Diceros bicornis minor: one gene and its partners. The protein of the gene in region 1 interacts with the protein of each later gene in a biochemical or structural test. Links are inferred from orthologs where the notes say so. Each region holds a gene or a part of one and is shown in the gene's direction. Other genes may lie near its edges.

Evidence for each region.
Region 2: the proteins of YWHAQ (region 1) and MARK2 form a complex in vitro, tested with the Homo sapiens proteins (2 studies listed by BioGRID, with this or other methods). The link is inferred for Diceros bicornis minor from reciprocal best matches to the Homo sapiens genes YWHAQ and MARK2.
Region 3: the proteins of YWHAQ (region 1) and HDAC4 are reported together in a solved structure, tested with the Homo sapiens proteins (2 studies listed by BioGRID, with this or other methods). The link is inferred for Diceros bicornis minor from reciprocal best matches to the Homo sapiens genes YWHAQ and HDAC4.
Region 4: the proteins of YWHAQ (region 1) and BAD form a complex in vitro, tested with the Homo sapiens proteins (2 studies listed by BioGRID). The link is inferred for Diceros bicornis minor from reciprocal best matches to the Homo sapiens genes YWHAQ and BAD.

Annotation. Positions count from the first base shown.
Region 1 is NC_080751.1:70,440,968-70,448,095, forward strand, and holds the start of YWHAQ (14-3-3 protein theta), read left to right. Parts: upstream 1-4,114; 5' UTR 4,115-4,210; intron 4,211-4,310; exon of another isoform or gene 4,311-4,335; intron 4,336-4,577; 5' UTR 4,578-4,639; coding exon 4,640-4,933; intron 4,934-7,128. UniProt on the Homo sapiens protein: Adapter protein implicated in the regulation of a large spectrum of both general and specialized signaling pathways. Binds to a large number of partners, usually by recognition of a phosphoserine or phosphothreonine motif.
Region 2 is NC_080770.1:9,074,016-9,080,906, reverse strand, and holds the start of MARK2 (serine/threonine-protein kinase MARK2), read left to right. Parts: upstream 1-3,875; 5' UTR 3,876-4,382; coding exon 4,383-4,436; intron 4,437-6,891. UniProt on the Homo sapiens protein: Serine/threonine-protein kinase. Involved in cell polarity and microtubule dynamics regulation. Phosphorylates CRTC2/TORC2, DCX, HDAC7, KIF13B, MAP2, MAP4 and RAB11FIP2. Phosphorylates the microtubule-associated protein MAPT/TAU.
Region 3 is NC_080776.1:26,625,868-26,633,099, reverse strand, and holds the start of HDAC4 (histone deacetylase 4), read left to right. Parts: upstream 1-4,224; 5' UTR 4,225-4,509; intron 4,510-7,232. UniProt on the Homo sapiens protein: Responsible for the deacetylation of lysine residues on the N-terminal part of the core histones (H2A, H2B, H3 and H4).
Region 4 is NC_080770.1:8,706,948-8,714,826, forward strand, and holds the start of BAD (bcl2-associated agonist of cell death), read left to right. Parts: upstream 1-4,862; 5' UTR 4,863-4,912; intron 4,913-5,194; 5' UTR 5,195-5,202; coding exon 5,203-5,389; intron 5,390-6,771; exon of another isoform or gene 6,772-6,851; coding exon of another isoform or gene 6,852-6,942; intron 6,943-7,879. Other genes in the region: integral membrane protein GPR137, read right to left, coding at 84-495, 885-1,003, 1,112-1,240, 1,366-1,515, 1,625-1,850, 2,547-2,596, 2,680-3,036. UniProt on the Homo sapiens protein: Promotes cell death. Successfully competes for the binding to Bcl-X(L), Bcl-2 and Bcl-W, thereby affecting the level of heterodimerization of these proteins with BAX. Can reverse the death repressor activity of Bcl-X(L), but not that of Bcl-2.

The DNA of each region.
Region 1 (7,128 bases):
TGATTGGATGTGGCCCATCCACATTATGGATGGCAATCTGCTTACTCAAAGTCCACCAATTTAAATATTAATCTCTCCCAAAAACACCCTCACAGAAACACCCAGAATAATGTTTGATCAAATACCTGTGCACCATGTGGCCCAGCCAAGCTGACACACAAAATCAACCATCACACTGAACAAAGAATGCAATCTCATGCATGTAAAACCACATACATATGTCCAAATGAAAAAGGATATATCTAGAAGGACCACTAAAATGCTAACAGAGGTCACCTCTTAGAGGCAGGCTCTCAGATTCTTTTTACTCTCCCTTGTATATTTACGTATTGTTTCATTTTTTTGTATAATGAGTGCTATTACATTTTTTATTAACATTATCATCATCACTATCATCATTACAAAAGCAATCAAGCATTTTTTAAAATACTCTATTGCCTGGCACATAGGAAATGCTGGAGAAATGTCGGAAAGCTGGAGCCCTTCCCCAAGAGGCCGGCTGACCAAAAGCTGGTTCAGAATGCCTGAAATCTAGTTTTATTCTTCAAATGTAAGAGCTTTCTTTTCTCTTAAATGCAAATCATGGCAGAAGAAATATTGTTTGAAGACTTTCTGATGTTTTTCATGACAGAATGATTTGATTAGATTTTTCCCTGAGTGCACACAGTGAAAGCTGGAAAATGTGTGGCCAAGGGGTGTTCTGGAGATGCCAGAAATGGGGCAACCACGAGGAGAGAGAGATGCCTGCAGACGGCATGAACCAACCTTGCCTGCTGAGGCCTGATGAGAGGCTGAATGCTATAGGCCCGACCCCAGCCCTGAGCCAGGGAATGTGGAGAAGGACTTCCCTGACCAGGCTCCCTCAATTTCCCCCACCCATCCTGGCTTTAGGTGAATCTCATTTAGCACCTCCGGGGGAGTGGATACTGGGGGCAACTCTTCAACGACCCACGAAACAGAAGTATTGATAATGATTATATGGGAATTTACAGTGAAAAGTCCCACTCAAATGTTTGCATGTCAGTAAAATATCTGCCATATGGCTGGAGAGGAAGAAGTTCCTCTCAGAAGACCCACTGCTCTGGGCAAACAAACCATGGAAACAATTTGTGCGAGTAAACTCAACCAGGAAGACTCGTTCATTCTGAAATGTACACTGAAAGTAGCCATTCTGCAGACCATTGACTCCACTAACTACAATGTGCTTCAAGAGATAAGCCTTCACTAGCAGTTTTACAAAGCTCAGGCATCTCCCTCCAGCCCCCTGCACCCCACCCCGGAACAGAGCGAAAGAAGGAGAAAAACTAACATTTACTGAACACTTGCTGCCAGCCCAGTATTTTCTTATGTGACAGCTCCACAACAACCCTTTCAGGTAGGGATTATTTTTACTGGTTAGGAAACTGAGGTCCAGAGAGGATCACAGTGTCCAAGGTCAAACCTCAAACAAATGGCAGGGCTGGGATTTAGGATCTTCTGGCTTCAAGTTCAGTGTGCTCCCTCCTGCTGCAGCAGCTTCTTCTCAGCAAGTAATTTAGAAAAAATAACAAGAACATCAAACAAATAAAGTAATAAATTCTCAGTACTTTCTTTGTTAGCTGTCTGCTCCCTAGAGTTCTTCTCAGCACGTTGGATGTGGATGTTTAACACGTTTCGTGTTTACTAGGAGGGAACTCCTAGAGGACGAGACTAGCCTGATTTTTCCTAGAATCCCTACAGCACAGAGCAAAGCTCTGGCAGAGTGCTTACGAGGATGGGCTTCAGCACACACATGGTGTGCATGGGTCCATATCCAGGCTCTGCCACTCACAAGCTGTGTGACCCTGCGCATAATACTTAACTTCCCTGTGCCTCCAAGTTCTTACTTCATGGTGGCATTAAGCACATTGAGTTAATACTTGCAAGACTTAAAAAAGTGTTTGACACACGTAATCACTCAATAAATGTCAGGGCTTTACATGTCCAGGGACTTCAAGTTCCCAGAGCTTTAATTTTCTCCAACCTTACTTCTTTCAGGTGCAGAAGCCTTTACATATGCACGTATCCCTTTGGTCTCTCATAAAATACTTTATGATTTCATAGTGTGCCATTGTTTCGAAGCAGTTCTTACCCATGATCCCATATGATCCTAACTATATGAATTGCTGCTCAATAAATCTTTGACGATTGAACGAAAGCAGGAATTTTAGAGACTGAGTTACAGAGAGCAGCAAAAACTTGCCCAAGGTCACCAGGGGAGATGGCAGTCTGGCCCAGACTTTCTGACAAACAGTTAGTGTGCTTGCCCCTTCCCTCCCTCCTTACCACAGAGCTCAGGTCCCCTGGCAATTCCCCTCAAGGGTCTCCGGCCCCCATCCACCTCCACTGATTCCTCTCCTTGCCTCGGCTGTATCTAATTTCAGTAAGCTTGAAATTTTGTCATACAGAAAGCATTTTATCTGACCTTCCACATGCAAATTCTTTCCATTGGGATTTCTTGGTGTCCGGCTCCACCCCAGCCCACATGGCCATAAACACTCGTGTGTCTGCAGCCTGGCCCCAGGGATTCCAGAAATAACAGCAGGGCCCTCCATTAGAACACTGGAACATAGTAAGGCATTTCTGCATCAAGAGACAGGCCCTTTCCAACCCAGGCCTCTCCTGTCTGTCAAAGCACAAAGCAACCTTTACAAGTCAGGACAGGGAGGGATAGCTGGGAGGGAGTTTAGATTTCTGGAAAGTCTGCACCTTCTCCTGCCATCTGTCTGCACTCTTCCATTCTAGAGATTCTCCAGATCTGCTCCAGTCTCCACTTGGAAGTTGAAATTCTTTCTCGGCTGTGGCATTCTTTGTCTTTCAATGATCCATTCTCCCTTGGACGTGCTGAAACTGGAATCATGGTAACATGAACCCAGATGGCAATTTTCATCTTAAGATGGCACAAAGGCCACTTTCCAGACACCCAGGACCTTATTTGGAGTAGGGCACCGGGGAAGTGCCAGAAGAGAAGGGAGTGGCAGGAAGGGAGTGCCTAGTTTCAAGAGAAAGGAAAGTCTGTCAATGACCCTGAGTAAAAGACATAAAAGACGTCTGAGGCCATCTGCCTAACTTCAGACGGGTGTTCGTTCGCTAGGAGGAGAATGTCAGAAGTCAACATCTAGGGAGAGAAGTTTAGCTTTTCAAGCGACCTTTCAAAAACAATACCAGAAATTAAAAAGCATGTACACATACGACAACGATGTGAAAAAATACATATTTAGATGCATAACCTGGAAAGGCTGGAAAGAAATATAAAAACAGTTGCTTTTTGGGGGGATGGAGTTAATGGTAGTTTTTTCACCAAATTATCCCTAATGTCATTTCTCATTTTAAAGAAAATCATAATAACTGGCATTGCCGGAGAGACCTGCCTGGACTTCCTTGGGAATTCTACAAGGGAATTTCAGGTTTTAGGTGCCCATCTGAAAACTTGAATTTATCATGTAAAAGCCATATTTAAGCCACTTTCTCCAGGAACTAATTCCTCTTTAATGGGGATGAGATTATTTCTAATTCGCAGCCGCAATCGCAACGTCATTAAAGGCTGGGTTCAAGGTACTGAGCTCCAAACCTTTGTCACGAATAGGAAGGTGGAGGAAAGAAAGGCCCTTGTGCAACAAAACAACCGATTGTGTCACCCTCCCAGGCCCGGCCCCACCAGGCCGACTAGAGCCGCAGCTGCATTGACCCAAAGATGCAATGCACCATCTGCAGCGGTGCTGCAGCAAGAGACGCAGCCGCCGCAGGAGAGGTGGTGCGAGCCTCCCGCTCCGGTGCCGCACCCACAAGTGCTGGGGGTGGCGGGAGGATGAGGGGAGTTGGTAACAGCATCGCCATGGCAACAGTGACGTCCTTTTACCCTGGATCTAATTGGAGGAAACCCCGTGGCCGAAGCCGCAGCCTGCTGGCCAACCGAACTTGCCCGAGCCGACCCACCCTCCTAGCCTCCACTTCCCCTCCCGCCCCGCCTCCCTGGCCCCCTTCCGCGCGCTCAGTTATCATTGGCCAGCGGCGGGGCGGGAGGCGGGACTCTAGGGGGAAGCTCGGCGTGTCATTGGGCGGCGGGAGAGAGGGCAGCTGCGCGGAGGCCCGCCCCTCGGCTCTGGGGTAGGCTGAGACGGGAGGGTCCTCCGCTAAAGCCAAAAGCGGATCAAAGTGGTGGGACTCGTGCCGCGGCCGCGGAGACGTGAAGGTGAGCGCCAGGGCCGCCTCCGGCCCTCCTCCGGTCTGGCCAGGCCTGAGGGCCGGGCGGGAGGCCAGCCCCCGGGAGCGGCCGGCCTCGACGCCGCTCTCCTCAGGGACGGCTCCGGCGGGAAGGTGCGGGCCAACGGCCGCTTCCATCTTGGGCGGGCGGGCGCGGGAGCGGCTCTTCCTCCTCCCCCTCCTCCTTCGCCCGCCGCGGGCCGCCTCCGCGGGCGCCCCTCGGCCTCCTGGGCGCCGGGCGGGAGCGTGGGCGGGGGAGGGAAATTCAACTGGGCCGCGCGTGCGGGGACAGACAAAAGGGGCGGCGGGCGCATTGTCTGACGGCGCCGCCCCCGCCCTGTGTCCGCCGCCCGCAGGCCCTCCGCACGCCTCCTCCGATCCGGGTCGGTGCTCGCCCTCGCTCTCCTCTCCCGTCCCCATGGAGAAGACCGAGCTGATCCAGAAGGCGAAGCTGGCCGAGCAGGCCGAGCGCTACGACGACATGGCCACCTGCATGAAGGCCGTGACGGAGCAGGGCGCCGAGCTGTCCAACGAGGAGCGCAACCTGCTCTCGGTGGCCTACAAGAACGTGGTCGGGGGCCGCCGGTCCGCCTGGAGGGTCATCTCGAGCATCGAGCAGAAGACTGACACCTCCGACAAGAAGTTGCAGCTGATTAAGGACTATCGGGAGAAAGTGGAGTCCGAGCTGAGGTCCATCTGCACCACGGTCCTGGTGAGTCCGCTCTCGCCGGGCGGCGGGAGCCGGGGAAGTGCCTCGGCGTGCGGAGGCCCTTTTGTGTGAGGCTTTCGTGGAGAATTTCGTGGGAGCAGGGAAGAAATGTGGGCCGGGGCTTGCCTAATCGTCTGCCGACGGAAAGGGTCTGGGAAGGTTCGCCTTGGCCTCCTTAATGAGTTATTTCAGTTCTTGAGACCTAACAAGCTGCATTTTCAGGGGTAAATAGATCTTTCCCCAGATGCTGCGTTGCTGCCACACAATATAACTTTGAAATATCCAAGTAGATTTGTGCAAGACTGAAAATCGTTTTTAGGCTTACCGAGGAGATCTGGGGACCCCTTAAATATATTTCATCAGTTCATAGGCTTGAGTTGAAAAAAAGTGCAGGCAGGCACCTTTTCCACAGAGACAGTATATGCCGTAGATTTTCCTCCCAAACTAATGGAGATTTACTTCGAAAATAGAACAGATCCTGCATTTTTCAAGTAAGAGTATTTGTTGAGTTTTTTCCCTGTTAATAACGGGGGAGAGTTTGGTAAATGTGGAAAAGGCGCAGCTAAGTCTGAAGAACAAAGTGTCCTGGTAAATTTCAGTATTTATTAACATTTCCTTGCTATTACATAGCTATACGTAAACTCTAATGTGTTGAATTCATTTCTCGTGTGGAGCAGGCAAGGAAAGCTTTCCAGGTTTTGAACTGTCCAGTTTTAGCAAGGGTGGCTGTTGGGTGGAGTAGGTGCCTGCTGTGATTCACCCTTATTAGTGAGAGAGAACATTTTTAGCTTTGTCATTGCATGGATCTTTTGATCAGTAAAATAAGTTTTTAAAATTTAAATACCAGCATTATCTCCTGGAGTGTTTTGAAGTGTTTTAATACTGCAAAGAGTCTTTTCTAGCAATAAAATAGGAAATATCTGATGCAGTTGCCTTTTTTAAGTGCCAGTTTTACAAGAGGCCTACTGATGTTTGACGTGTTCCTTGTATTTTAGGGGGGCTTTGAAGGACAAGCATGCTCGATTGGTGATTTTTCACGAGGGAATAGAAGGGAAAATGCCTCTTTTCCTTCCAGCTGTCTCTTCCTTGCCCCATGAGATTCATGGGGCAGGAAATTTTTTTTTAAACTTCTTTAACCTGTTTTTCCAATACAAATAACTGGTGATCTGCACAAAATCATGGCTGATGGAGATATCAGGTAAAGGGGCAAAGAAAGCAATGCAGAGAGTGTGTACTAAGTGGAGAAAACTCTATTGAGATTATTTGCTTTATGAAGGCAAGACTGTATGGTGTATTCATCTACATCTTAGCTTCCACTCCCTGCCTGGCATAGAGGAGGCACTTATAAAAGCTTTTGAACTGAATTGCTTGTATTCAAGAAATTTGCCAACTTGGAAGTGACAGTAGCCTTCGATAGCATATGGTAATGGTTGTTGACAACATAGACTCTATTATCAAGGGAAGACTTATAAGAATTCCATACATTAATGAGAAGCTTTTCTGTATATGTATTGCTTTTGGGGGCTGTCATCGCATATTTCAGTCTCTTTTTGTGTTGTTATTATTTTAAAGTTTCTTAGTTACCCTGCAGCAATTAGGAATTACCATAAAATTTTTCCTGTTCTCTAGCAAGTTAACTCTGAGCCAAAGGACTATTTGTTTTATTTTGTGGCTCTTATAAATTTTAGTTTTTATGACAGCGTAAGTGGAAGAGAGTTTTGCTTAGTTGATAAATGACTTGGAAGAGAGACCAGGTATATTGGGGTAGACCTTTCATATACGGCATTTCAGTAGGAGAGAACCCTTAAAATTAGGATAATTTTTTTACACCAAGTGAGATAGAAGAGTTTAACTTGACTAATCTGAGACACTGAGGCATAAATAAAATATTTATATTAGTAAAATGGCTTGAGAGACTAGTTGTGACTTAATGCCCAACCTATAAAAAAACCTGGGAAAGCCCATCTTCAAGTTGGTGGCTGTATTTGAGAGCTTAGTATGTGCAAGGCACTGTGCTAAGCAGTATGGGGAAGAACAAAGCTGAGAACCGTAGATTTTGTCCTCCAGTAATTTGTGAGTGCACATGAGAAATACACAAACAAATAATATATAATTCTCAAAGGATGGTTATGAACAAAATGCTATGTAGTTTAAAGGAAACAGAGTGGCTCATTGAGGGAGGAGAGTCTGAGGGGGGT
Region 2 (6,891 bases), on another chromosome or scaffold:
CGAGTCAGAGGGCGTGGGTGGGTCTTGCTTCACCCCCGGCTTCTGACTCTTGATCAGAGGGCAATTCTGAGGCAATCCTGCACCTCCCAGAGTGGCCTGCCTGGAATGCGCATCCTCTCTGGCTCCTCCGGTCGGAGGGAGAAAGGTGAAGATGAGTTGCAGTGTTTTGGAGGGATGAGAACAAGGATGTCTTCCACTCCAGCACTCTTACCTCTTCTTACTTCTTTCCTCACAGCTCATGCATGTAGGGGGATTGCTCCCCTGCCAGAGCTGGGAATCCCGTAACCTCTGCCTTCCGGGATCCCAGGGGGCATCACGGCCGCCCTGGAGCACGGCTCCTATTGGCTGGTGTCCACCTGGTCTAGGGCCTGTGGTAGCTGCCTTTACTCTTGTGTTTGTTTTGTCTTTAGTGTTCAGGTTGGAAAGCTTGGAATTATCCTTAACTTCTCTCCCAGACCCCCTAAGCCAATCCATCGAGAAATCCTGTCAGCTCTACCTTCCAGATATATCCCAAATCCTTCTCCTTCTCACTGCTTCCACTGCTGCTGCCCCACCCCAAGCCACTGTCATCTCTCACTTGAATTATGTAAAAGCCTCCTTCCTGGTCTCCAGGCTTCTGTTCCTGCCCTGCCCCTTCGCTCTGTTCTCAACTCAGCAGCCCATCAGATCATGTCCCTGCAGCGGCTCCTCATCTCACTCCAAGGGAAAGCCAAAGCTGTGGCCTAGCTCCACATCCCCTTTCTGCCCTCTCCACTACTCAGCCCCTCACTCTGCTCCAGTCTCCTTGGCCTTCTTGTTCTTTAAACAGCCAGGCCCGCTCCTGCCTCAGGGCCTTTGCACAGGCCATCCCCTCTGCCTAGAATGCTCTCCTCCCAGATATCCACAGAGCTCACTCCCTCACCTCCTTCAAGTCTGCTCAAGTGTCACCTTCTCAGTGAGGCCTACACTAACCACCTTAGTCTTTCACCTCTACCCCCTCACCCCAGCAACCCTGACCCACCTTAGCTGGCTCTATTTTATTTCCATGACACTTAATACTATTACGTCTGTTGTCTGTCTTCTCGCAGTTGTAAGTTCCCCAAGGGCAGAGATCTTTGTTTTGTTCACTGATACACCTAGAAGAGTGCCTTGCACATAGTAGGTCCTCAATAGAGATTTGTGAATGAATGAATATGCAGATTGGAGGGGGGTAAATGTGCAGTGATAATTAATCTTTAAGGAGAACTAGGAAGGCTCCGGGATTGGAGAAGGTGACATCTGAACTGAATCTTGAAGTACGTCCGGAAGCTGAGGTAGGTGACTGGCCATTGATCAGCCTGAACAAAAGCATGGAGGTGAGAGAGCCTGGTGGCCGGGCTGCAGCTGGGGGGAGGTGTCAACCAGCAGTGCTGAGTTGGAGAGGATATTAGCAAGCTAAGTTGGGGCCAGATTGTGCAAAGCTTCCAATGCAGGCTAAAGGCTTTTTTTACCTCCAGGACTGGTTACGAAATGTCTGGGGCCCAGCGCACAATGAAAAGGCAGGGCCCCCTTGATGAAAATTACAAGAGGATGACAGCAGAGCATTACATCAAACTCAAAGCCCTTCTAAGAGTAGGGCTTTGTGTGACTGCACAGGTCCTAGGCCCATGGAGCCAGCCCTGCCTGTCCCTCAAGGAAGCTGGTGAGAACCTTCCAGCAGGCAGAGATGTAATTAGAGCTGGACTTTAGGAAGATTATTCTGGCCTGTCTGGTGGAGTACGTCGGAGGAAGTCCAGGCAGGGAGACCAGTTAGGCAGCCTTGTGAGGAAGACGAGGGGACAGGTGGGGTGGGGGTGGGGGCTAAAGGTCAGAGGGCAGGGGTGAGAACACGAGCGAGGACAAGGATGGAGAAGGTAGAGTTTGCTGAGACGAGAACCTGGGCCCTGGCAGACCCCCGAGCACACCTTCCTCTGCTCCTCCAACCTCTTCCCCTTCTTCCTTCTTTCCAGACCCTTGGAGGTGACACCGGACACAGGACTCAGCAGTGTGTCTCCCTTTGGCCACCAGAGGGCAGATCATTCTCATGGATTTTCAGAGAAGAATTTGGGGTTGGGGAGTGGAATGTCCCCTGTCCTCACCTCTTCCTCTTATTTGTCCTCACCTCCTCCTGTGTTCCTTCATCAACGGCTGGGTGCCTGGATGGAGCTGGGGCAGGGCATGGGGAGTTGTCCTAGAGTCCCGGATATTTACTAGGTCTGTAGGTGGTACCTGTCGCCTCAGGAAGTACTTTCATATCATTATCTCCTTGCGTCTGTCCGGCTGCCTATTTCTCTGGGTGACTTGGCCGAGGGCTCTGCTCTAGAAACTGTAGCTGGGAGTTGGAAGTGAAGCATCCGAGGTCCAGCCAGCACTTTTTCTCGCAATCCCTGGGGCCTCTCTGCTCCTGTACCTTTTTGGGGACTTGATGCTTGAGCCTGGTCTCTGTCTTCTGGGGGGACTCTGGCTTCTGCCCACCTGAAGCTGCTGTTGAGCCCTGGGAGGCGGGGGACAAGGGCAAATTCCAACATGTCTGGATCTGATGGGTGGGAGCCCCTTGGAGCCAGAGGAATCAGATCAGCCTCTCCCAATGAGACAGTCTAGGGGGAGTGAAGAGTGGGCTCAGTTTGCCACATGGACTTCCTGTTAGTCAGGAGCTCTGCAAAAATGAGAGGGACCTGAGAGCTCATGAATCCAGCGACCTCGCTTTATTGATGGGGAAACTGAGGCCCAGGGAAGGAAAGGAACTTCTCCAGGTGCCCATTCTTTGTGCCATCCTGAGGCATCCTCATCGTCAACTAGTTTCTCTCTCTTTTTCCACGAGTTTTCTTGTCTTAGAAGGGATAACTGAAATGTGAATTAAGATGAGAATTTCTCTCCTGCCTTACCTTACAGGGGTATTTAAAAAGGTAACTGGTGTGACTCAACATTACCACAGTGTGATGTCATTTTGTGCTATTTTGAACAATTAAAAGATTTTTTTTGAAATTAAAAGGTCACTGGAATTTAAAGATGTTATTTAGAATGTCATCCCTGGAACAAAGGCACGGATTCTCTCAGTATAGGGAGGTCAAGGAGCCTGCACTCAGAGATGTTACGTGATTTTTCCAAGGTCACACAGCATTTTCAGTCCACAGAACTGGGCTTGGGATGCAGGGCTGGGGAGACTTCTGCAGCCTCCCGCAGCTGGGAGCCAAGGACGCTGACCAAGTGTCTGCCCAGGTCCTTGAGGTGCCCTGCGGACTTGATGTGGGTGTATGGGTAGATAAATAGAAGCCAAGACAGACGATGGCAGGGGATGAATGATAGTAGACAGACAATAGGCTAACACTGCATTTGACGGGTGACATATGTTGATAGACAGGTTGGGTGACAAACGAGATGGATTTTATGAGCTGACCAACAGACGGACGAACGGACGCGGAGAAGGGAAGTTGCTTTAAAACCGAAGGATGCCAATCGCAAGGACCGCTGACAGCCTTATTTTCTATTTAGTCAAATAATAACAAGCACAGGTGATCCACGCTCCCTTTCAAGATTTGAAAATATCCGAAAACTGACGGAAAGAAACGAAGAGTCAGATTCTGGATACCTCCTGAGGGAATGACCCGGGGCTCGCCAGGCCTCGGGTGTTGCCGGAAATGGCCGACGACAGCCGTCGGCAGCGGAGCGGGACGGGGGCGTGGCCGGCTCACGGCTCGCAGAGCCTCTTCGGGTGTTTCCGGAAACTGCCGAGCGCCAGCTTGAAGCGGGCGGGGAAAGGCCTGTGGGCGTGGCTGGAGTACCCGGGGTGGCTTCGTGGATTTCCGTAAACAGAGCCGAAACTCGGTCTTCGGCATCAAGGAGGCGCGCGCGTCCCCAGGGGTTACCTTCTTCGGGTGTTTCCGGAATTCACCCGTAGTCCGTGGCCGGGAGGAGGAGGCGCGCCCCCCTCCCGTTCCTAGCCGCTTCGGATGTTTCCGGCTGCTGCCGGCGGAAAGAGCCGAGGGCCGGCGGTGGTGGCGGCCATGTTGGGAGCAGCAGGTCCGGCGGCGGCTGCCTGTGTGCCGGGCGCGGAGCAGTGCCGCTGAGGGCAGGGGAGGAGCGAGGCGGGCGGCCGGCTGCGGCGGCAGAGAGTAGGCGGAGCGGCGCGGCCCGGCCGAAAGGCGGCACAGCCCAGCCGGGGGTCGGGGGGGTGCGGTCCGGAGCCGCTCGGAGCCGGCGCGGCCTAGCCCGAGCGGCGCATCCCCGGGCTGGCGTGAGCGGCTGCCCGGCCTCCCCGCACCCCCGGCCGGGGCCCATGCGGCGGGTGCCCCTGCTGTGAGAAGCCCCGCCCGGCCGGGCTCCGCGCCTTCCCTTCCCTCCCTTCCTCCAAGCTTCTCGGTTCCCTCCCCTGAGATACCGGCGCCATGTCCAGCGCCCGGACCCCCCTACCCACGCTGAACGAGAGGGACACGGAGCAGGTAAGGAGCCCCGAGGGCTCCCCGGATTCTCTGGCTGGGCCCCTGCACCTTGCGGAGCCTCCTCCCTCCTCTGCTCTCCTCGTGCCCTGCTGCCACCCTGCAAGCCGCGGCTGCCCTGTCATCTGGCTCTCGGCCCCGCACATCCCCCTCCGAGTCCGGTCTTGGGACCCACCTCGTCCAGACTCCAAGCTGCACACTTGTCTTCCTGCCGACCCCCCTTCTGCCCTCACCGCCCTCCTGCGCTCTTCCGTGTTACCTCCCCAGCTTCCCCTTCTCTTCCCTTTTTCTCTCGGGGGCCTTTTTGGTCTTTCTCCACCCACGCTTAAAGCAGCCACCCTCCCACTCCTCGAAGAGCACTCCGCGGTGTGCCCCAGATCGTCGTCCACCCCTTCCTCCATCTCTCTCGCCTTGCTCCCCCTCCGCCCGCACCGGTTCTCCCAGTCCCTGGTTATCACCCTCAGGGTCCTTCCCCGGAGTGTGTTCTCGATCCCTGAACCCTGTCCCCTTCCAGTTCCTCCTCTTTTTTACCCTGCTTCTGCCCTCTCCAAATTGCGCTCTCCCTCCTGCTTGCAACCCACCAGCTCTACCCTCATCACCTTTCCCAATCGCTCGCCTACTCTGTGCTCATCACTTTCCCTTCTTCTCTCCAGGAGCTCCCTGGTGCCTCGCGCTGGCATTTGTTGCTTCCGTGTTTCCCATACAGCTGTCATGCGCATAGTTTTCCCACAGGTTGTCTCTGGGGTTCCAGTCGTCACTCCCTTCAAAGTCCTCGGATCCCTCGCGTTCTCTTCCCCCCAGAGTTTGGCTTTTAAGTCTCTTGGCCTCCTGTTTCTCCCTGTGGGTGCCTTACCAGCCTTCTCCCCGGGCTCTTCCTACCGAGGGAAAGACACTATTTCAGCCCCACTCCGTTAACACAACCTGTTGCTTAGTCCTCTCCCGGGCCTCGCTGCATCACCGCCCTTGCCTTTCTGTTTTCTTACATCACAGCACAAACCATGCCTTCCTGTCGCTTCACTCCCGGATCCGTCACTTTTCATAGTATCTTCCTCCTTGCTTGTTGTCTTCCGGTTTCTTTACCCTCACTTCATAATCCTTACTGTGTTTCTTAATCAGGATTGCCTTTCATCTCGGTATTAGTCTCCTGCCTTCTTCACACCGTGTTTATTTCCCCACATATGCCCCTCTCCATCCCCTTCCCATTGGCTAGTCTTTGTAACTCCTGGGCCCAGGCATTTTGCATGCTCGTTTCTTGAGCTACACGCTCCCTCTCATCCTGGCAATCACTGCCGTCATTTGTCACCCAAGCCTTAGCCTTTTCTCTGTCATCTCACCTCTGAGCTGAGAGGCATCCACTTCCACCTCTCCCCTTTGTTTCACCATCTCCAGTGTCCCTTGCTGACTGCTCTGTGGAGAGTCCCCTGCCTGTCACGCCCTTCTTGGTGGAGAACTTTACTAGGCCAAAAAAACTTGACTCGAAAAAGGAGCTCTTCTCCCCTGGGGCTGCAGTGCTTTTTGCATCCTTTTCCCTCCTTACATCCTTGCTGCTTTCCTTTTGTTCCCTTAGTTCTTCGGAGCCCAATAGAACCGTCGTTATAGTCTCTTGCATGTTAACCTTTTCTGAAAAATCTTCCCTCTTTTCATTTTTGCTACGTTCTTTTCTTTTGTTACCCCCGGCTCTGTGTCCCCTGGGCAGTCAGACACTCAAGAGGAGTTCTGGACTGAGTTTCTCTCTGCAGTGGTTCTGGACTGAGTTTCTCTCTGCAGTGGTTGACCCTTTCATTACTGACGGATTGATTGCTTGTGGGGTTGAAACGGGCTGAGAGGGAGGGATGGGTGATTTCCATTTCATCACTGGGTTTGGCAGCTGGTTCTGCAGGGGCCTGAGGTCTTTGGAAACAGGAGCATGGTCTGTATCCCACAGGCTTTCCCTCGCTTGCCAGCTGTTTCTCTCCTTACCGGGAACCGCTTTCTCCAGGCCCTCTTGACGTTGCCTGTGCCATTCCTTTTCCCATCACAACCTTTGTTTTAGCAAGTGAACCCTGCCTGACCAGAGAACTTTCCCAGACTGTTGATTGTGAGCTGGTAGGAGGAGGCCAAGTGACTGACTGGCACCCTCAGGCATTTGGGGAGTGGCTTGGAGTGGAGTGCCTACTCTCTCAGCGAGCCCGTGGGGGGCATTGTGTTCAGCAAAGTGGAGTAACAGACTGCCTCAGTGTGGTTTCTTTGTGCTGTTTACTAAATGTAAATGTATTCCCACCATGGTCTTTTTCTTGTGATGTGTGCATTGATTTCCTCTCTTCCCTACATGCCCAGCATACTGCTGAGCGCGTAGTAGGAACTCGGTGCACACCATGGATTTCATGCTAGCGGTAATCGGTGAACCATTTGGGAGTGTAAGCTGCTGTTTGATAACTTGGTCCGGGGCAGTGCCTGCATACATTGTCATCCTGTTCCA
Region 3 (7,232 bases), on another chromosome or scaffold:
ATTAGCAGGTGCCCTCCCACATGGTTTTCTCACTGATTTGAAAAGCTACCTTGATTGTACGTTAAATCCTTACAGGGGTGATGTTCAAAATAGTTACCAATTGGTATGGTGCAGGCACTGACCAGCCTGTAAGGATGCCCACCCAGAGCAGCTGGGACAGACGAGTCACATACTGGCTGGATATCGGCAGGAGTTCTTGTGTTTGCTGGGGGCTGTTTCTTTACTTTCTGTTATTTTCCATCGCTCTGGGCCAGTCCACGTTGTTTTCATTCTGGAGCCCAGATATGTTTTGTTTTCTCTCTCATCACTCTTGTTTCTGACTGTTCTCAAATGTTTATTCTTCCAGATGAACTATTCCACCATTTTGTCAATTCCCATGAAGTTCCATCAGAATTTAACGTTACATTTAGGTATTTAAAATGTTCTTTTGCTAATGTGATGGGGAATTTTCCATCGAGTTTTTCTAATGCATATAAAGTGTTTAGCACAATGCCTGTCCCATAGCGAGTGCTCAATAATGTAAGCATTTATAAGTACTGAATATTGTTAGCATGTCTGAAAGTTCTTGTTTTTTCTATATATTTACTTTATAATTGGCCACCTTGCTGAAGTTCTAATTCTAGGGTTGTTTTTTTTTTTAATTTGAGTCTTTGGGGCTGTCTTTATTTCTGATCAAAGGATTTGTTTTCTTCTGTTAACAATGGGATTCGTTTTCTTTCTAAAGCAAAGCGTTGCAGACTCTTCTATAAAATGCCCTTGTATGAGCCCCATCTGGACGTTCCCTGGTGTTTGGGCTGTGCCTGACCATGCCGCTCATGCTCAGCTCCAGCGTTAGAGACCTTCCTTCCACCGTGCAGAACTCTATTGTACTGAGCTCTTCCGACAGGCTGTGGACAGATCTCCTTCAGCCAGACAGCCCCTTCAGAGACCTAAAGACACACACAGCCACACACACTTTCAAGTCCTTCTTCTCCAAAAAAAGGAAAGTGTGATTCTTCTGCATGCTGGCCCGACAGTTACCAGGTGCCTCGCTTCCTGAAGCGCTCTCAGGACTGCAGGTGAGGCCTAACTGCCACACAGCGATGGGACCATTCATTCTTCTGAATGCAATTCTACCTTTTAGTGAATCCCACCGAGGATATCCCAGAACTCTTTCATGTCACTTTTTCTTCACTTGTAAAATTAATTTTACTAGACCTATATGCAGCATTTTCCCTGCATTTCTCTTGATTATTGAACACTTTAAATAACCCTGTTCCTTAATTTTTATCATTTAAATGTGACTCAGTCACTGATCCTGTTTCACCTTATACGAAAATTGATGAGGGTACCACTTCCATCATCAGCCAGGTCACTAGTGGTAATTTTCTTCAGCTGTGTCTTTTGTTTTAAAATTCTGCAATTCACTATTCATTTGCTTCAAAGTTAAGCTTAGGACAGGCATTTCTACCCACAACGCCTACGGTTTTCTTTTTTGTCACTGCCGTTGAGTCAATTCTGACTCCTAGCGACTCTCTGGACAGCCAAGCTCAACTCTGCCCCGTCTTTCTGAGCCAGGCTCTTACTTTCCAGAGCTCTATCAGACAATGCTCCACTGCTATTCATAGCGTTCTCATGGCCAATTTTTTTCAGAAATGGGTAGCTAGGTCGTTCTTCCTAGTCTGTCTTAGTCTGGAAGCTCCACTGAAACCTGCCCACCAAGTGTGAGCCTGCTGATAGTTGAAATACCGGTGGCATAGCTTTCAGCATCACAGCAACATGCAGCCACTACAGTATGACAACCGACAGACAGGTGGTGTGGTTCCACGATTGGGAAACAAACCCAGACGGAGGGAGGGAGAGCACCAGATCTTAACCACTAGACCACCACAAAGTTTTCTAATCATTACTTATTTTTTCAAGATATTTAACATATTACAAAACTGTGCATTTTCATTTTGAAAATTGTATTTTTATCCACATAGCTACATTTTTTCCTCCAAAAGTCACTGATCAAGAACGACAGTACAACTAATCTCTGCTCATTTCTAGAAGGAAAGGCCCTCAAAGTAAGCAATCACACACATCTGCCAACATCCCACAGCCTGACTTTATCACCGATACTCCCGCAGGCTTCAGCTCTGTTTGCCTCTGGGATTATTCTAAGATTGATAAGTAAACTGAGCTACTTTCTGATTTTCTTTTAAGTTTTGGAGAGTTGAAAGAAAAAAATTCAAAAATTCCACATTACAAAACAAATAAAAGGACATAAAACCACAAAGGAGCGATTTTCATTAAAACAGAAATACTGTTTCTTTTCCCCCTGGAAAAAGCATCTGGGCCATAACACTAAGTTAACAAGCGATGAAGATTTATCAGCGTCTTTTTTCCTTGATGTGAGAATGAGTATTGAGGGTGTCAGTGAGGGAGGGTGTCTCCCTCCTTTAATCCAGCAGGTAATTTCAGATAACCTTGTCACCTCTGGCAATTTCTCCATCGATTTTTCTTCTTCTTTCATGACCAAGTTCTCAAGATAGGTAATACTCCTGTTCCCTCTGACATCCCTGTATATCTTCGTATGTAGTTCAGTGTAATTCTGTCTCCTGGTTCTTGTTACCAAAGCCTGAGAAATAAGGACATTTTGGTATTTGAGGAAAAAAACAATCCCTTGGATGCAGTTCTTAAATGATCTACCTGATTCTGCTTTCTAGAAAAGATGCTGCTTTAGTTAAGCACCAACATATTTAACAGACTTTGGTTATTAAGATCTCAAGCTTTCTGAGCAGTGTTCACCATTTTTGGTTGTGAAACATGCTGAGAGGTTTCAAAGTATCCTGCATGATATAAGGTTTCATGGAAGCAAATTAATTGTAGATCTCTTTTAATTTAAACTATAGATTCCATATAGCACTTTATGAAAGGAAGTGTTTTATCAACAAAACAACGATGAAACGCTGCAATTTGAATACCATTGTTTTAGTCTTTCCTTCCATCGAGACTGGATCCGCCAAGAACTGCCAACAGGTGTATTCCCATGCAGGTCTGAGCACGCAGGACAGGCTATCATCAGCAGCATTTAGTTTCTGGAGGGCACCCGTGGGAATCACGAACCCTGTGGCTCCCATGCACGGGCACACTTTGTCTCACTTGGTGAACACACGGGATTCTGAAAAACACTATGGGCACGGAGGCTGAAAAGTTGTCACTCTTCTGCGGGACACATGGGGTCCTTTAGCGCGGCGCAGACCACCCCACCGGCAGCCTCAAAAGGCTGGGCACTCGGGCCAGCAAGGACCTCGGAGCACCAAGGACCCAGGTGAAATCACAGGGCGAGCCCATCACCTCCTCCGCCCAACCCTGGATTCGCAGCCCCGGCAGCCACGGCGGCCTCGCCTCAGGCGGCCCAGGACCATTCCCATCAGCGCAGGCGCGCTGGTTCCGTCCCACGCCCCCTCGCCCCGGAGGCCGCGTTCCCGCCGCGGGGCAGGGCGGGGCCCAAGAGCCTGCGCACTCGTCCTCCGCACGGCCCCTGCGTCTCCGGGCGCACGCAGCATCACGTGACCGCTGCCAGTACCCAAGATGGAGGCCGCAGCCAGGCCTGACCGGCTTCCCGCTTCAGCCCGCGCCGCGGCGTGCGCCCGCCAGGCACGCGGTCCTGAGCCCTAGGGTGGTGGGGGGCAGCTCTTCGAGGGCGGTCGAGGGGCACTTGCCAGGGCCAAAGGCCGTATTTACAATCACTACTCGCTCGAGCTCCCCGTGCTTTCTCAACCGCGAAGCGCCCAGTGGCTGGCGCCTTGAGCGTCGTTTAGTACCCCCGCCCTGGGGATTGGCAGCTTCGGCAGCCAATGGGGCCCAAGACATGTGCGGGTAGGCGGGCGGGGGTGGAGCATCCTTGCCGTCCGTAGAGCGTCCGGTCTGGCGGTTGGCCGCCGCGGGACGAGGGGCGGGAGCAGACGGGGCTGTACCTGGTGTCCCAGAAGACCAATGGGAGGACGGCCGGGCGCCCGGGGAGGGCGGGCGGCGGGCGGGGCCGAGCCGTAATTGACGACTTCTTCATTAGAAACCAGGCAGGAGGGAGGGGCTCGCGAGGGGAGGTGATGCAAGGCCACCGCAGCCAATGGCTGCAGCGCCGCTGGAGGGAGGGCGGGGCCGGCGCGGCTGACGGGCGTCGCGGGTGGCCTATCAGCGCCCGGCTCGGTGGTGGCGGGGGGGAGCAGCATCATGGTTCAACGTGGGTCAATTTTTTGTGAATGAGGAGGGGAGGTTGTGGGGCCGCCGCCGCGGAGCACCGTCCCCGCCGCCGCCCGCGCCCGAGCCCGCGCGCCCGCCCGCCGCCCGCCCGCCCGCGCCGCCGCCTCAGCCGCCTGGGCCCGGCGCGCCGCGGCCGCGTCCCCGCTGTCGCCGCCGCCCGAGCGCCCGCCGCCCGCCCGCCGCCGGGGTGGTGGTGGTGGCGGCGCAGGCTGAGGAGATGCGGCTCGGAGCGCCCGCGCGGGGCTAGAGCGCCCGCCGCCGCCGCCGCCCGCCGCCGCGGTAAGCGCAGCCCCGGCCCGGCCGCGGGCCATTGTCCGCCCCCCTCCGCCCGCCGCAGGCCGCCGCTCCACGCCCCCCGCCCGCAGCCGCCCGGCCCCGGCAGGTGGACGCCCGGCTCCGCGCCCCCGGCCCGGCCCGTGCGCCCAGGCCGCGCGCGCCCAGCGCTGGGGCTCTCCGGAGCGGGAGCCGAGCCCGCCTGGACCTCCCCTGCAGCCCAGACAGAACGAGGGCCGCCGCCAGGCGGGGGGCGCACGCCGCCCCGCGCCCGCCGTCCAGGCCGAGCCCTCGGCAGGTGGGCCGGGGGCCCCGGAGCCCGCCGCGCCGTTTATGTAACTTTGTCACGCCTGTGAGTTTGCAGAAAAACGTCCCTCCCGGGCCCGCGGCGTGGGGTGCGCCGTCCGCCGGCGGGTGCGCCCCCGGCCCGTCGCGGGAGGGGTGGGGTCTGTCCACGACCCGGAGGGGGTCCCCGCAGGATCTCCACGGGCCGAGACGTGGCTCCGTCCTGCCCGGAGGATGGGAGCGGCGTTTCCCGGCATTGCAAACACACACCACGGCATTATAAGCAAATTATCTCGTATTTACATTGAACGTTGAATTATTTGACACTGTTATAGCAGGAGACTGTGCGTATCAGTCGGAAAGGCCGGGGGTGGAACCCAGTGTACTCATTTAATGCACATCAAAAATTTGTAATAACTTGCAGCCGCTGATATGAGTGTTTTCTTTATTGCATGTTGTAAATTGACCTGCTGTGACACAATTTTCAAATAAAGCGTGGCAGAAATTAAACTTAAGTTATTTTAAAACTAATGACTTTCTTAACTAAATCCTAATTGCATTACTGTAGAGACCTATGTAATTGCTTGCTGAGAGCAGCTCTGCCTGCCCTCAGTGGGGGAGGACCGGGCCTGTTACTTTGCTTCCCCGCGTTACTCCGGCTTTTTTGTTTATTCCCACAAACCATCTAAGCATGGAAGGCCTGGGAGTAAACATGTAAACAGCCCTCGCCCAGCGCCTGCCCAGCAGGATTGAGGGAATACTGGTGGGTTTGCTCCTTGGCCTGGTTTCACTTTTTCTTTTGTAATACGATCATGGTTGCCTGGAGTTTTAATTGCTTCTGATAATTCGGTGCATTATTTGAGAGACCGTCCTGTGAAAGCTGGTGTGGTGGCTTCAGAATCTAGCCACGAGAGGTGGTGGTGGTGATTGGGGAGAGCGAGAGAGATTGAATTAAGAAAACTCAGCTGCTTGTACACAAATATACTCTACAGCAATTACAAAGCAACAAAAGTTATTGCAGAATTTTGCAGTAACTATGGCAACACAATTACTCTATTATAATTGGGAATGCAAAATGCCACCCTGTTAGAAGTTTCATCAGGATGGAATTTTGGATATCAAAAAGATGTGAGATTTAATTTTTTTTCAGGTAGCTCCTGAGAATTCTACAATCTGTGTTCCATTATCTATTTTTAATTCTGATCAAGCTTTCCCAGATATTCCACTCCCTGGGATCTGTGGCATCTTTCCCCAGAACTCACATTTGTGTGGGAGGGAAGTATTTTCCTGCCTTAAAAACACACACCCTGACACATTGTAAGACTTCTCTAGCTTTCTGTCTTCTGGACTTTTATTTTAAAGATCAAATACCTTCCTAAAGAGAGCAGTAATCAATCAGAAAAGAAGCAGGATTTTTGCGGCAGGCAGATGTAACACTGCCCTCTTTAGGGTTAGTTCTTTCTCCTGCAAGGGGAGCTGGCAGCATGAGTGCCCCTGGGGGAGCCCTGGGGCCGGGGTGGGGGCTGGGGGATGGATGACTGTGGTCTGCACGGAGGCCTGGAAGGCCTAGGGACCAAGGACAGATGTGGCCTAAGCAGCCCTGAGCCAAGAGAGAATGTTCTGTGGTCAGCAGCTTCGCAGCCATGCAAAATAAAAATCTCCAAATGTTGTGCTCTCAGAGGCCTTGGGGGCTGTAACTGTAGCAAGATGGACAGAACAACATGGCACCGTGGCCATGTGCAGCTGGAGCGGCAGATCTTGACTTTCAGTAGTCAGAAACCTGCTTTATACGGATGGCCCTCTTGATGTTTACCAGGAGGACTCGAGTTCTGGAAGTTTCCACACATCGTGGGGTTGCTGCAGTTTAATTTCATTATAACTCTTTCTTTTTAACTACTGCATATTTATGCCCAGTAATCGACTTCCATTTTCCAGCTTCATTGTGAGGTTTCAATGCTGCATGAATGGCTTTGAATTCTCATCCTTTGATGTTGGGGGTGGCACCAGAGGAAAGGGACTTTGTGCCGTCTTAACTGCTGGAGCAGAAGAAACATGTCATGACTCCTGTAGAATTCGTCCATACCATTCGTTCTCTATTGAAAACGGCTGGGCTTTCATGGCTCAGAAGCTGCTATGAGTAATAGATTAATACCTGATGTAGGGAGTGAGGGAGAGGCAGCGAATGAGAGGGGATACATGCCTGTCCAGCCTCCGTGGAAGCTTCGGATTTTGCCCTCGTTCTGCAGCCTGAGAAGCTGGGCCTGAGCTCCTGCTGTTCCAGCCGGAGGGCGAGTCCCTCCCCGTTGGTTGCAGCCCCCTCCTTGGGCCTGGGGTGGAGGGCAGGGGTCGAGTTTGGAGGGGGTTTTGTTTCAGTCTCAGATGGTCAGCATATGCTGTGGTGTGCAGTGGGCTCAGGGCTCTTGGCTTTGACCTTAGAGGAAGGT
Region 4 (7,879 bases), on another chromosome or scaffold:
GGGCTCTTCCTTCCCCTGAGAAGGCAGGCTCCTCCCTCTCCCTGCCCAGCAGCCCCCTTCAAGGGCAGGTGTCTGATCAGCCTTCAGCTAAACAGGTGACGAAGCAAGGAACACACAGCGGACAACCGACAGACAGTGAATGGACGCGGGGCACAGACACTGTTTATTGAGTGGCAGGTGCAGGAGAGGTCGCTGGCTCCAGTGTAGAAGCGGAGGCAGCAGGTCATGCCAAGGCGCTGTGGGCATCTGGCAACCAGGGCCATGCCTCCCATCCTAGGGGACGGCATAAGCTCACTACAACAAGAGTAGCAAGCAGCCGGCCAGGGGAAGAGGCAGCCACAGCCCCCAGGATCCTGGGCAAGAAGCGGCAGGTGAACTTGGCACAGGGGCCTGGGGTAGGAGGACTGGGGTCTGGGTGTTCTGGGGGGAAACAGAAGGGGATCACGTCTGTGGGGTGGAGTAGAGACTGTGGTGGTGGCCGCCTGGTCCCAGCACCTGGGAGAAGAGCAGAGGAGTGGTCCGCGTCTGGCTGCCCCCGCACCAGCCTGGCTCCCGCCCGATGGCGCCGTACCAGCTGCCGGAGCCTAGGCTGCCTGACATGCTGCAGGCAGAGAAACACCGTCAGTCCCAGGGCAGTGACCAGGGCCACATTCACAAGAGCTGGGGGAGGGAGAGAGCCTCAGAACAGAAACCAATGACCGAGACCTCCAGGATGCAAACTGCATCTCGGGGCGAGAGATGGAGACCTCATCTAGTACAGACGGGAATCAAAGAGCACGGCGGGCCAGGCAGGTGGATGGGTGGCAAGACCCAGGACTAGGTCCCCATAGCTTGATGGAGCAAGCCGGGAGCCCAGGGGTCTGAGGCAGGGCCGGGGCTCCTACCTGGTGCTCTCGCCCCGGCTGTGCTCCCAGGAGCAGCCCTCGTCCTCGCAGTGCCCAGCCCGGTCGAAGAAGTAGGAACGGGAGCCAAAGACCTGCCCGTTGAGGATGCGGCTGGTGCTCTGGGGAGGAAGCCACCATTGATGCTTTCTCCTGCCCTCACTGGCCTCCCACAAACCCTTTAGACCCCAGCCCAGGATTCCATGTCCACCCCTCTCCACAGCCCTCACCAGGTCCTGCGGGGGCCGGTGTACCCGGAAGAAGCCCACCAGCAGTGTGGTGGGCAGCAGCTCCCACACAAAGAGGATGAGGCCAAACACCAGGTAGCCCTTGTTCCCCAGGTCATTCACCAGGTCCGCCTGTGGGAAGGCAGGGGCTTGTGTCAGTCCGCAGTCGTGCTATGGGGCACCCAGATAGGGCCCAGGCCAGCTGGGGACCAGGAGCCACAGCTACTAAGGAGGCGGCAGACGTGCCGAATGCCCACCTGGTCGGAGACGTTGTACCAGTCGTAATCAAAGGCATCCAGCCGGCTCCGGGGGGCCAAGGCCAGGGCCGCCAGGTTGTAGCAGGCCCGGCTGGCATAGAGCAGGACCATGGCGCCACCCATCACGGCTGCCTGGCACACACTGGTCCCCTGGCACAGATGACAACAGGGAGGGGAGGCTCTAGCTTCCTCTCTACCCTGAAGACCACTGCCCAAAGACCCCCAAAGGATACCCAGGCATCAGGGCTTGTGGCCCTACCTTGGCCTCCAGGTAGATGCTGGTGGAGGGGGCCCGCCGGGCGACAAGGCAGAGGCAGGCGGCCAGAGAGAGCGCGCAGATGACAAAGAGGGAGTCGCTCACCAGGACTCGCACCAGCAGGAGGGCCCAGGGCTGTGCCCGGCGCCGGCGGGACAGCACGGCACACAGCACATTCACCAGCAGAAAGAGCAGCGAGGCCCCCACGAAGGCCCCTCGGACGGCCAGCCTGCGGCCCACAGCACAGTCAGCCCCAGCCCTGGGCGCTCAATCACCCCACCTCCCACAGAAGACCCTGGTCAGTCAGAACCAATCCAGACCAATCCAGTCCGAAGACTGCCCCTCCAGTTTTAGATGGGGAAACTGAGACCCAAAGAGATCAGATGGTGACCGACAGCTGTGGTCGAGTGGAGAGAGCACCGGACTGAGAGTCAGAAGTCTGGGTTTCAGCCCTGGCTCTGCTCTCTGCCAGGTCTACGACCTTGAACATGCTGCTTTACCTTGCAGGCCCTCAGTTTCTACATCTCTCAAATGGCGATAGTAAGAGCCTCAGGGGTAAGTTGTAAAAATTAAAGATGTTTGTGAAAGCTCGTCATAAACTGGAAGACGTTATACAAATGACAGGATATCGCCACGCAAGGTCACCCAGAAGTGCAGTCTGGCTTGGGCTGAAGCCTCCCACTCTTCCTCCATCATGGGTGACACTGGTACCCTCTCCCCTCACTCACGACTGTTTCTATTATAATTTTTCTTGACCTATGCTACGCCTCTGCTCAGCCATCCACCCCAGGAGCCCTACTTTTCCAAGCTTTTTCACAAACACTCCTGGGGTGGTCCTTGCCTCAGCCCTGCAAGGGAGGAAGGAATGGACACCGGGCTGCTCCCTGGCCTGAGGGCTGAGCCCACCAGTGTCCCGAGTACTCACAAGCCTCGGCTCATCTCTGGCCGACGCTTCGCCTTGGCCTTGAACACCACCTGGGAGCAGAGACGCCCATCATTCCTTTGGGCCTCTGGGGCTTGCCCCACCACCACCCACCCCCACCCGGGACCACAGTTACCTGGGCAAAGTAGAGGTTCATGAGGGTCAGCGTGAAGAACTGCAGGCAGACAGGGCAGCAGTAGAGAAGCCAGAAGGGGAGAGGCCCCAGGCGGTTGGCACGGGGGGTGTCTCGGAAGTAGAAGGAGAAGAGGGTGGTACGCAAGGCAGCCCAAAGCAAACAGAGTGCCAGGAACACCGTCTGGTAGCTGAGACGCTTGTGCCCATAGAGCAGCACCAGCCAGAGCTGGGCATAGACGGAGAAGAAGAGAAGGGCGTACAGCGTGGTGTAGGCCGCGGTCAGCCCCAGGGTCACAGCAGGTGGCAGGGCAGGCACCAGCCCAGCAGCAGGCACCGGGCCAGATAGGTTACTCTCCATGTCAGGGAGGGAGGCCTGAATCCCGGAGACAGAGATGGAGGGGCTGGCAGGGGGCCAGGGAAATAAATACGGAGGGGTGGGAGCTGCAGGGTACAGAGATGGAGATGGGGCGCTCGCGAGGAAAGAAGTTGCGGCTCACCAGGCCCTTCCCCCTCCACAGAGGGGCCCTCGCCCTTGCAGCGGGGCACGGGCAGCCTGGAGCCTGCGCCCCTCACTCGGGGCGTGGAAGGGCAGTCTCTCCTCTCCAGGGTAGAGGAGGTGGGTGGGGGGTGTCTCCCCTGCACCACCCCAGAGCCGGGGTAGGGGACTGCAGAGGCTGAAGGAGAGAGGTCCCTGGCCTTGGTCGCTCGAGTCGTCCCGGCAGGAGGGGGAGAGCCGGCCGATGCCCGTGGGCTCAGGGCAGCGGCCGCTGCGGGGGGCGTTCAACGCCCGGCTCTCCCCCTCCCCAAACTGGGGAGATCTCTCCCCTCCAATGATCCGGATGGGGAGGGCCTCTGCCTTCCGTCCTCGGGATTCCGGACGCTGCCTCCACCCCACCCCCACTGCGTCCACCCTCCAGCCGCGGGGGACCCGAGGAGGCGGACGCCGGGTCCTCAGGCCGCCGCTGGGGGAGCCGGCTCCGGTCGCTGGGACCCGGGGCTCCAGCTCCCCGGCTCCCGCTGCTCCGCCCCCTCCTGCGCCTGCGCGGGCGCCGGTCGCTACGCAAATTGCGCAGGGTCTGGCCCGGGCTCCGCAGTCCGGCGCCGCGCCCGGCGCGGAGCCGTTTGAGAATTGGCGCAGCTGCGCCGCCGGCGGACGCCAGGGGTTACGAGAGGCTGCAGGCGGCCGAGACGCTGGGGCCGCGCCGCATCCGGCGGGCGCCTGGGGGGGCCGTGCCCGGGGCCACCGGCCCTTGCTTGTTTGAGGGGCCGCCAGTTCCCATGCTTCTCTTCCCCATAGCCAAGCCGAGATCGCTCCGCCCGGCTGAGGGCGGCAACGACTTCCCCTCACCCGGTTCCTGAAGGAAACTTCCGCCCACAGCCAAGATGGCCTCCGGGCCCCGCCCCCTGGGCCTCACCCGCTGTCCCCGCTGTCCCCAAGCGGCCCGCCGCCCCACGCCCTGGCCGGCAGCGGCTCCCGCTCACCTGGGCGGCCGCCTGCCAGGCGCGAAGACCCCGCGAGTCCTACGGTCACCCTCCCAGGGGGCCCTGTCCGCTCTCCTGCGCCGGGGCAGCCATCCCGCCAGGCAGGAGACTGCTCGCTTATCTCGAGCGCTCCCGCGATGGCGCGGGGAGTGGTGCCCGATGCGGGCGCTGCGAGGTTTCCACTGTGGGGAGGAGGAGGGCGCGGGACTTCCCGACCCGGCCACCCATCCAGACGGGGCAGTGACAACAGCGACGACAGTTGCAGCCGGCGGCCAAGCTTCAATGACGGCTTTGCAAAGTGCTTTCACACACGGTTTACAATGATCAGTGGCTCCTGAGGGAGGTGTCATTATCCCCATTCTACAGGGGTAGGAACTGAGGCCAGAGGGGCGGAAGGACTTGTCACCAGAAGCTGGTCTCCAGGTTCCCGGTGGGGACCCCAGAGAATCCCTCCTCTGCTCCCACACACGCCCAGGGCACGAGAAAGCCGGGAGCCGAGCGTCCGGAGACGAGGAGTGGACCCAGGCAGGAAGGCGGGCGGCGGAGAGCGGGTCCGGCGGGGGGGGCGGGGCCGGGCCGGGAGCGGCCCCGCCTCCTGGCCCGCCCTAGTGACATATCGAGAGCTGATTGGGCCGGGTCTGTGACAGTTTCCGTTGCCCAGGCAACTCGGGCTGGGCTCCCTCAGTACTAGAGGGAGGCGGCGGCGGCGGCGGTGGCGGGCTCGGGTCAAGGGCCTCCAGATCGGGCTTGGGGTGAGACCTGGGTGCCGTCACCACGGGCGGGTCAGGCCGGGGCCTGGGTAGGGGCCTGGGGCTGCTCCACCGCTCCAGGGCTCCCCGAGGAGATTTGGGTCCTGGGTGGACAATCTGAGCTTCCTGCCCGGCCCACACTCAGTGGACAGATGGGGGCCTGGGAGGCAGGGCAGACCTGGGGCTCTAAGGTGGGAGAGGGGGTCAGGGGTGCCTACCCTTACCCCCCCACCTCCCCCGCCGGCCACCGTTTGCCCCTAGCCACGCACCATCTTGCCCCTACAGCCCAGAGCATGTTCCAGATCCCAGAGTTTGAGCAGAGTGAGCAAGAAGACTCCAGCCCTGCAGATAGGGGCCTGGGCCCCAGCCCCACGGGGGACCGGCCCTCAGGCCTGGTCAGGCACCAGCGCACGGCCCCAGGCCTCCTGGGGGAAGCCGGTCACCAGCAGGAGCAGCCGGCCAGCAGCAGCCACCATGGAGGTAGGCACACCCCCTTGCCCCCAGCCCAGGACCTCCTGCACCCCAGCCGCATCCACACTCATAGGGTGGCTTTGAGTAAGTCCCTAACCTCTGTGCGCCTCTGTTTCCTCTGCTGTAAAACAGAGAAATTAATCACCACCATTGTAGGGCTGTTGGGATGAATAGCAGGAGTATACAGGAAGCACTTAATTATAGTGCTGGTGCTTAATGAATGCTCAAAGAATGTAGCTGTTAGGACCAGGACAGAAATCTGAGAGGCAGGCAGGGAGCCAGAAAAGGGAAGTTACTTGCCTAAGGTCACACTTGCTTGGCATTTCCTTTCGTAAGAAGCGGGGCTGGAAGGCTCCATCAGCGCTCTGCCCCAGGCTGCGTGCTTTCTCTGGGATGGGCCTTCTAGTCCCCAGGTATGTTCCTTCCCGCCCTGTGGTCACACCCACACCGGGGCTATCCTTGCCCGTTGCCAGGGGCAGGTGACCTCAAGAGGCAGACAGCCCGCCCGGTCAGTGGGTTACTGTAGGGGTGGGGAAGCACAGGCCTCCCTCCACGCCCACTGAGGGCGGCCCAGCGCCGAGAGATGGGAGGACGGGCACAGGAGGGCAGTGGCCATTTCTCAGTGGTCCCACCTTCTCAGTGCCCAGCACTGGCCTTGGCACCTGGAACAACCACAGAGATCTGAAAACAAAAATCACATCCCTCGCGTGCTGAAACCTACATGACCCCTTTCATTTTCGGGAGCAAGAAGGCTTACTAAAGCCTCCTCCCCAGCCCTCCGCCACACGCCCTGTCAGACGGAACTCCACCGGCTTTAACTTCCAGATCTTTGCACTTGCTGTTTTTCTGCTTGAAAAAGCTTTCCACCTCCCACCTGGCTGTTCCTCCCCATCCTCTGTATCAAGTGCTTAATAGGTGCCACGTAGTCTCCCAGCTTCCAGGGGTACATCAGTGACAGATGAGATAAAAATCCTTGCCCTCGTGGAGCCTACCCTGTCCTGGGGTTAGGGGAGGCAAGCCATAAACAAGAAGAAAATGATAGAGTGCATTAGAAGATGACAGCCGGGGGCAGTGCGCCAAACAGTCTTGCCTGTCTCTTTTGAATTCGGAGTACCGGGCCTGGGGGAGTGACTTCAGCTGAGGTGGTCAGGGTTGCCTCGGTAAGAGGCAACGTTCGAGCAAAGGCTGGAAGGGATGAGGGGTGAGCCACGCAGGTATCTGTGGGGCGGGAAGGGTGCATGCAAAGGCCCTGGGGGCAGGATTCACCGGTCCAGGCCAGTGAGGGGAGGGGCTGGGAGCTGGAGATGCATCGAGTTAATGGAGGGGGAGGGGCAGCCAGGCAAGGCTTTGAAGGCCAAGGTAAGGACTTTGGCTTTACTTTGAGTGAAAACATGGGAGGGCTTTGAGCAGCTGCGGGGTGATCTGATTTTGGCATCAAGAGAATCCCCAGGGCCCCTGTGTTGAGTCTGCAATGGGCAAAAGCAGCAGTGGGGCCGCAGCCTGCGCCCGAGTCCCTGCGAGGGAGGATGGTGGCTTGTGCCAGGGCGGTGGCATTGCAAGTGGTAAGTAGCTGGACTCGGGGTTTATTCTGAAGGTAGAGCAGGATTTGCTGCCGGACTGGATGTGAGGGTGAGGGAAAGAGGAGTCGAGGATGCTGCGAGGAATCTGGCCTGGACGCCTGGAAGGACGGGCTTGCTCCTGAGATGGAACTGAGATATGGGGGGACAATCAGGAGCCCAGCTGGGCCAGGTCAGCTTAGAGGTGCCTTTTTGGCATCCAGGTGGAGATTTCTAGTAGGGATGGGTCCAGGCAGGATTCGTGCACGTGGGAGTTGTTAGTCACCGACGGCCTGTTCTGTGAGGCCCAGGGAGCCAGTGTGGACAGGAGGGGACCTGGACTGAGCCGGGGGCTCCAGCCTTCAGAGGGCAGCAGAAGAGGAGGAGCCGGCCCTGGGGACTGAGAAGGAGGGAGCAGCGGGGTGGGAGGGAAACCCAGAGCATGCAGGGCCCAGGGAGGCGTATGGGGCTCGTAAGGAGTGGGGCTCTGGACCCACGATGCTCCTGGGAGGGCCGCTCACTGGAGGAGGGCTGGGAATGGGGCGCTGACGTTGACAACTTGGGGCCACCGCAATGGTGGGGAGGCGGCGGAAGGCTGACCTCAGTGGGGAGGGACAATGGGAAGAGAGCTGGAGACAGGAGAGAGCCCGCTCTCAGCAGCTGTCCTCCGGTATCGAGGAGCCAAGGGGTGGGCGGCAGCTGAAGGCCCGAGGCGAGGCAAGGAAGTGTTGTGTTTTTTTTTTTAAGATAGAAAGGGAAAAGAAAATAACATGTTTATAAGCTGATGGGAGTAATCCAGGAGCGAGGGAAATACGGGATGTTGCAGGAGAGAGGGGAGACTTGCCGGAGAGATGTCCTTGAGTGGGAGACGGGGGTCTGCTGCCCAGCAGAGGGGCAGCTCAGCTAAGAGCAGGGCAGTGGACATGGGCGGTATATACCTCGT